2 linked regions of the Oryzias latipes genome follow. The protein of the gene in region 1 binds, or shares a complex with, the protein of each later gene. Links are inferred from orthologs where the notes say so. Each region holds a gene or a part of one and is shown on either strand. Other genes may lie near its edges.

Region 1 (4,296 bases):
CTTTTTTCTTCAATGATTTATGATCTTCACTGGTGTCCATGGATTACATGAAATCTTTCCACCTTTATCCACCTTTGTCATGGTAGGGAGAACACGTCAATGTAAGGGTGGGGTCATCTAAGATAGCACAAGGGTTAAAAGCATCTCAAAAGTGAGAAGGGCGACATCTGCAGGCTGAGTTTTAGAACTGCATGTTAGTGGATGCTAATGGAAATGGCCTCATTTGTGTTCACTGCAACAACTGCTTTATAGCTGCTTTGTATTGAAAAAAATATTTTTATTTTAAAAGGATACAGATTGCAGAGAGACAAATGGTAAACAGGGAGTGCAGTTCTTTAAGAGGCTCCATATAGTTTTGGAAATTCACTTTTTAAAATGTACTCTAAGAGATAATCTGCTCTAGAATAACTGATTTAGGACAATATATAATTGCTGTTGCATTATGAAACCAGATTATTTCTTAATAGAGGGAGCCTTCTACACTTGGCTTTAGGTGAGTAATTATTGGTTGCTAAAAAAGATTTTTTCGGGACACACCACACCCCAGTGAAGCAGCATCAGAAGTCTGCACTCCACATCCTGGTGTTACTCAGTTTGCTAAAAGAACGGCTGGATTTCTCTACTTGATTTTTAGTCAAATAGTGCAATGTACCCATTTTAAGGATTAAATATTTCTAAACCCATCACAGCCATAACCTCAACGCTTAGCTAAAGCAATAATAAGGCTTTGCTTAAACGGGTCATGAGGGTCTTTTTGGTTTGCTGTATAAGGTATTGTTAACATTGTCTTGTAATAGCTGCTTCAATAGATTATTAATGCGTTACAGGAATGGGCTCAAGCCTGGATTTACTGTGAATTGCCCATTCAAACTAACCCTGCAGACAGGAATAGCATGAAAAAACCAGAGTGGTAGAACCTGTAGGGCAATCTACATGTAACAAATGAAGTTGCTGATGGATGCATGTGAAAAAGTGCATGTTTTGGGTTAGATTTGAGCCTTTTTGGGTTGAGTTAACAAAAATACAAATATGAGAAAGATCTCATTTGTTATACAGAGCTACCATAGGAATACATGAGTAAATTATTTAGGAAAAAAAGATAAAACATTTAGAAAGACATGAAAAATACTTACAAGCTGAATTTCCACTGCACTCTGAGGCCGTTGGTTTAACAGCTGCAGTTTTTCTGCCCTTAAAGAGAGAAAGATGGCAAAATTTTAACTTTGAGACATTTTTATCCCCAAACTATACATCATTTATTAAGCGGAAATTACAATTGAAGCCCCAGAGGGGTGAAAAATATTATCTTTTAGATACTGACTTGGTCAGCTTCTGAGGCATCATGGTGGTGAGGAACTCTCTGACAATTTCAGGACTCTGTCTGCTGCATGGCGTCTTTGACAAATACTTTAGAGTCTGAAAGCAAATGCAGGTGAGAACATGGACTGGATTTGACAACTAAAGCTCAGACAGTATGAATAGTACCCACTTCATACATGATGGTGTTGAGGTCCTGTTGCCCGAGGCTATGTTTGCTTTTTCCAGCATCTTTCCTCTGTTCTTTCAGGTCGGTGAGAAGTTTGAATACCTGAGACGAAGACATTATTTAGCTTTTCTGAATAATTAATTTCATTACCAGGCAGGAAAATCAACAAAAACCCTTAATAGACAGTCTTATAGTCTCACCTCATAGTTACTGAGCATGGCCGCGTTTGCATTTTTTCTGTGTAAAAAAACCCAAATAACAATTGTTAAACATTAAATTATGAGATAATTAAAATATCTGTTACCAAAACAAGCTTTATAAGATTGGAATATTTCCCATGTAGTTTATATATTTAGTAAACATTTTTCTTCTGTGATTTGATCTTCACATCCTTGTGTTACTAAAAGAACGGCTGGATTTCTCTACTTGATTTTTATTTATATAACGAAATTTTCTTAATCGGAACCTCAGATCTTCTCTTTAATGAACAGCAATAATTTTTTTTTGTGTTTTCCCTTTTTAAAAACTAGAAACCCATCAATTAGATTATTTTAAAGCCGTTGAAACTTACTGAAATAGATATTAGCAAATGTTTTTGTTTTTCAAGTTTGAAGAAGAAAAGAAATACAATTAAAAAAAGCAAACTTTTGATAAATATAAATAAATCTAATGAAAAACAAGACAGAATACTGTTTAAATTCAAACCTGTTTCCCATATTTCTTTGCTTCAATGTTATTTAGAAAAATTAAGTTTGTGATTTCAGGCAAATATGAATTAGATCAGAGCTCAAGTGACAAGTTGACAAATGTTGTGGAGTGCGGCTGAGTTGGCTTATATTAGATGACAAAATGTTTTTTAGCTGCTTCATCATGTCATAACTAATTCATTTATTATTGAAGAGCCAACGCAGAATGTGTTTGTAAATGGAATGTTTCATGATTTGAAACAAATATTTGATAACACAAACTCAAACTAATCCGACCCGTGCTTTTTGTTTCTCCCATCTTCTGAAATTTACGTTTATAAACGATTTCGCGACCTTTTGTCCCGTCTCTAACTTCGTCCCCAAACATAATACAATTTAAAACATTTGTAGACTGCAAACTCTTCAAAATGGATCAAAGTCTCCCGGACTCAATATGTTTTAATTCAGTTGTTTTGTGTGTCGATCATCATCTCTCCATTTTTTGGCCGACAGCATCATCCCAACGGAACAAGCAAAACATCACATAATAAACCCGAAACTGAAACACGCACGAAACTACCATCGATCACAATTAAAATTGTACATGTAAATATACATAAAAGACTTATTAGCCGTTGTTTTGTTCTTAAAAAAAAAATCTTACACTTCCATGTCGACTCTTAGGTTCCGTTACAATAAAGGGGTTCGTGTAGAAAATAGGGGAGTATATTGGTTCCGCCTAGCAAAAAACGCATTTTTACATAGAACGTGGGATCAGAGAAAACAGAATAAATATTTAAAAAAGTGAAACACTGCCGAGATGTTTGAAAATGAAAAACAATGTAAGAGTATCTCAAAAAGTGTAAATTCGAAAGCCCCTTCACCAAACAGTTCAATGAAATTAACAAGGACTTCCAGAGCCTCATGCAGCAGCATCAGGGAGAAGGTGAAGTACACCCTGAACACATCGAGGGTTATTTTAAACATATTAAACATTTAACATTTACTGTTAGGGTAAGGGAACAAAAAAGGAATACACTAGAAGTCACTTTTATCAGATTTTAATACAGTTTCATTAGTCATGATTTGAAGCACACAGTATTGAACACTTTTTGCTTTTTAAAAACAAAAACAGAAAAAGTACAATGAATTTTATGCTACTGCACTGAGTAATGAGTAATCTATATTTGAAAAAACAAATAAATCCCAAAACATAATAAAACAACCAAAAAAAGGAAACCTTTTGTTGGCATTTCTTTTCAAGAACTTGATACAGGAATGAGTCAAGACTGAAATGTAAGAATTGGACATCCATACAAGTAAAATATACAAGAGTGAACAGATTTTTTCCAGCATTATTTTTTCTCTGAACTGGAGAGTGATGGTTAAAAATGTTTCTGGGACAGAAAAATCACATAATTATATTAAACAGGTGCATGTGAATTGCTTGGAGCAACAATAAAGTAAACAATAAGTGCAGAAATTAAAGCTTTAACTTTTATTAAAGCTGAGTTTAAAGCTTTCGTTTAATTTTTGCTTTTCACTGCTGGAATTTCTTTGTTTTACTGCAGTCAAGCCCAGGATAACTATAAAATGAGATGATGAGACCTAAACAACCTCCATTGGGACAGGTTCCTCAGTTTGGCAGAAAAACTCAAGGAATGTTTGTACAACTTTGTCATCCACACAGCTCCTTGCAGCTTCTTTGAACCGTTGGTTATTTCTGCTCTCAACTATTTTTTTGACACCGTCTTTGACGGCGGTGCCTCGAGTGTAGCTGCAATCAAGATATTCTCTCAAAACGTCAAACTTTTTTCCCTCCACCATTTGGATAATAAAATCTTCCAAAATGAAATGCAGAGGTTGGGCATATTCAACAACAGCCCGTCTTTCCATCCCTTCTTTGTCGTAGGTGAATCCTCCTGAATGCATTGCAACCACATTGCAGTGGTTGTCAAAAACAGGAGAGCCAGAGGAGCCTTCGAAAAAACTAGATTCGTATTTCAAAAGTTTATCAGCAAAGAAATACTTGGTTATCAGGGGAACCCTATCAACAACCTGGCTGTGTGGAACAATCAAACAGGGGTCGATCTTTTTCACACCTCCCTGAGGATGCCCGATAAT
Region 2 (3,358 bases), on another chromosome or scaffold:
ACCCTTAAAAAAAAACCCACTGACCATTAAGGCCAACCAGAAAAAAAACGTTTGTCAGGGAACATTTAGATTGGACTCCAGAGCGATAGAAGAAGGTTATGAGGTCTGATGAGTCAGGCAGTGAACACAGACATAGTCATACAAACACAATATAGACACATACTAATTATACAAATCAGCTGGGAGACTTTGGAACTTACGCATGATTTCCCCATCTGCCTTAACAACCTTCACAGTCATTGCTTGCCCATACTCCAATGCAATCTGGGAGTTTACTTCTTCCAAAGTCACCTGAACACAAAAATATTGCAGATTGTGGATTCTCATCCTTCTAACACAGTAGAGGGTAAAAAAAAAAAAAATCAGTCAAATGGACTTGGTTAATCCTTTATAACTGCAGACATTTCATGTTTTCTCAAAGACAAATTTGCAAATACGAAAGATAAACCAGTTGTAAATAACAGATTTCTTTCTGGGCTTAATAATAAATGAGATTAAAAAAAAACAAATGTGATTATTGTATAATAGTCCAATGTTACAAGAGCAATACTGACAATACTAATGTTATGGATTATAACCTGTGTTTTTGTTATTTTTATTATGCATGTTTGGTACTTAATTCTAGATTAGAACATTTATTTCATTGCTATTCGTATATAATTCTTAAATCGTATAAACAGTTTCAAGAAGAAAAAGGAGAGAAAACATAAATTAGAGCTATAAGATTGTTTTGAAATTGGATTCGATTTGGCTTTTCAAGAATATATATGCAGCTATTTTCTGCTATGCAAATATGCCGTCAGACAAACCGGAAGAAGGACGCGTTTCAACTTTAGTGTTAAATTTACAATTTATGAAAATTTTCTTTAAACATCTGCCTGGTGTGCGGAGTGTGGTGTTTTTCTATGACCTGGATCGGCAGATCACACAGTAAAGGGTCCTGCACAAGTCGAGCAAGTCCCTCTTCGAAGATATCAAGGATCTCTGAATGTGGAAGAGACTCCTCATCTTCCTCCTCGGCATCTGGAGCTGTCTCATCAGCCAGCTTCTCCTCTTTCACCTCACTGTGACTGTGACTGTCCTGCAAACGATTCTCTCCTTCGTCGGTTTCCTGCTCCATCATCTATTATTGGTTAAAAATAAATACATTCAGTAAAAATGAAACCGCTTTCTCTTTTTTGACGCGTTCAATTAAGTACAAAAGATTCTTAAAATAATAATAATAGGATACTGTTTACAAAAATGTATCCCAAGACTGGTGTGAATTTTAATGCTGTGTGTCGCAGACCTTATACCGGTGGTATCATCAAAACATGATAAATAGTTCCGCTTATCAAAAGTAAGAACTTTTTTTCATGCGGCGGATGGTGGGGTTTTAAAATAATTATATTATTTATAATGTTATACATATATTTATACATTTATATACATTCTTTAACAATAACAATTTCATTTTTAACAAACGTTTTTTTTTTTTTTGTTTCCTACCGAGCTGTAAAACCGGAGCAACTGCTTCCGCTTTGCTTCTCCTTGCTAATGAATTTCGTAGTCGCTACTATCTTTCCCGAGATAGTTTTTCTTTAAATAATCTGGTAATATGCTTCTTTTTTGTCCTACTTGTGGAAACGTTTTAATCGTAGAAGAAGGACAGAAATGCTTGAGATTCGCTTGTAACACTTGTCCCTATGTGCACAACGTCACGAGAAAGGTACGCTCCTTTTATCACTGTCTGACTCTGACTCGAGAAACAAACACGACATTTCTTAGGGTGGTTTTTAATCTCAAACTTTTCAATATTTGTAGGTAAACTACCGAAAATATCCCAAGCTGAAAGAGGTGGATGATGTGCTGGGTGGAGCTGCAGCGTGGGAGAACGTGGATTCTACTGCAGGTAACAAACAAGTTTGTTACCAAGAATTAAAAAAAAACATGGATAGACTAGAGAATAATATAAAACAAAGGCCAAGAAAAACTAATTTGACTACTAAGACAAATATGTTCTCCATAGGAATAAATTAAAGTTTATTTGAAACAGTCCATTTGCGTGTTTAAAGGGTGTTAATAGTCACCCTTAGCTGCAAGTACACTTGAAGTTTATTTTATTAAGTGTACTTGGATGCAAGTATTGCACATATACTGCTGACCATGTAACGTGTAGGGAGTACATTAACTTAACACTTATTCTGACTAAATTGTGACATTTTATGTTTACTATATATAGACTGAACTTCAAGTACACTGCCTCACTCTAAGTATACTTGTAGTACACTTAAATGGACTACTTTTTGCTAGAGGCAGTGTTGCTGTGTGATGCTATGGCGAGTACCAACCTGAATGTGGGCCACAGAAAGAAGTTCAATCCGAGAACTAACTAAAATTCTGAACATGTGTGTACATATATGCATGTTTGCTTGTGTTTTTTCACAGAAACGTGTCCCAAATGCGAGCATCCTCGAGCCTACTTCATGCAGATCCAGACCAGATCAGCCGATGAACCAATGACGACTTTCTACAAATGCTGTAATGCTCAGTGTGGAAACAGATGGAGAGATTGAGCATTTTATTTCATTCACTCATTATTTCTAGTTTAAATGGCAATCAAAGCACATGTAAAGAATGTTTTGGACCCATTATTATTTATAAATAAAATTTGCTTTTCAGAATCAATCAACGGACAAATTCTTTATTTCAGAGCTTTTATTGATAAAATAATACCTGTGTACATCAGTCAATTCAATTGTCTTAGATGTTTGTATCTTGTTGCAGACATTGAGAGCAATGCATACCACTGGTTCCCACACGTTTATTTTCTATGCAATCCTTGAGCTCAAAATGCAATTTCTAGAGCAACTCAATCATCCTTAAGGTAAGGAAGAGAAAAAAAAATACAAATCTAGGAGCCAGCCAAAGAGAATCACTTATTTGGATGTGTAGCTCATGCAGACAAATTCTGCACCTCCAAAGCGTTGGTGAAAAATGAAATCGGACATGCTGTGACGGAACAGTGCTTTTACACTGTTAGTGGTTTATCCAATAAAAACTGTATTTTTGATATTTTTTTAGCTTAATCTGAAAAGACTGCTCAGTCAAGGCTATCGCTTCATCTAACATGCATTTATTTATGTCATAGATGACAAATGTCAAGATTAGGTGATCAATGCAATGATGGCTGCATCCCTTTCCAGCTTAAATACGGTTTACTACTTTCAAATCAGTGAGGAATCTCTACAATCTCAGTATCACAGAGATGGCATGTAGTGTTTCCACATAACCATGTCCTCGGCACACAAAGACTACTAAAATCTCTGATCAAATATGTTTTGATTAACTCCAGTTATATATTACCTCTATGCTTGAA

The links.
Region 2: crcp (region 1) and polr3k share a complex: the UniProt entries of both Homo sapiens proteins name them as parts of the RNA polymerase III complex. The link is inferred for Oryzias latipes from reciprocal best matches to the Homo sapiens genes CRCP and POLR3K.

What each region holds. Positions count from the first base shown.
Region 1 is NC_019872.2:8,448,910-8,453,205, forward strand, and holds the start of crcp (DNA-directed RNA polymerase III subunit RPC9), read right to left. Parts: upstream 2,921-4,296; 5' UTR 2,845-2,920; coding exon 2,837-2,844; intron 1,724-2,836; coding exon 1,687-1,723; intron 1,589-1,686; coding exon 1,490-1,588; intron 1,417-1,489; coding exon 1,322-1,416; intron 1,192-1,321; coding exon 1,134-1,191; intron 1-1,133. Other genes in the region: protein FAM111A, read right to left, coding at 3,781-4,296. UniProt on the Homo sapiens protein: DNA-dependent RNA polymerase catalyzes the transcription of DNA into RNA using the four ribonucleoside triphosphates as substrates.
Region 2 is NC_019866.2:8,138,543-8,141,900, forward strand, and holds polr3k (DNA-directed RNA polymerase III subunit RPC10), read left to right. Parts: upstream 1-1,491; 5' UTR 1,492-1,597; coding exon 1,598-1,708; intron 1,709-1,803; coding exon 1,804-1,891; intron 1,892-2,427; coding exon 2,428-2,555; 3' UTR 2,556-2,667; downstream 2,668-3,358. Other genes in the region: snrnp25 (U11/U12 small nuclear ribonucleoprotein 25 kDa protein), read right to left, coding at 201-291, 911-1,123. UniProt on the Homo sapiens protein: Core component of RNA polymerase III (Pol III) which synthesizes small non-coding RNAs using the four ribonucleoside triphosphates as substrates. Can mediate Pol I proofreading of the nascent RNA transcript.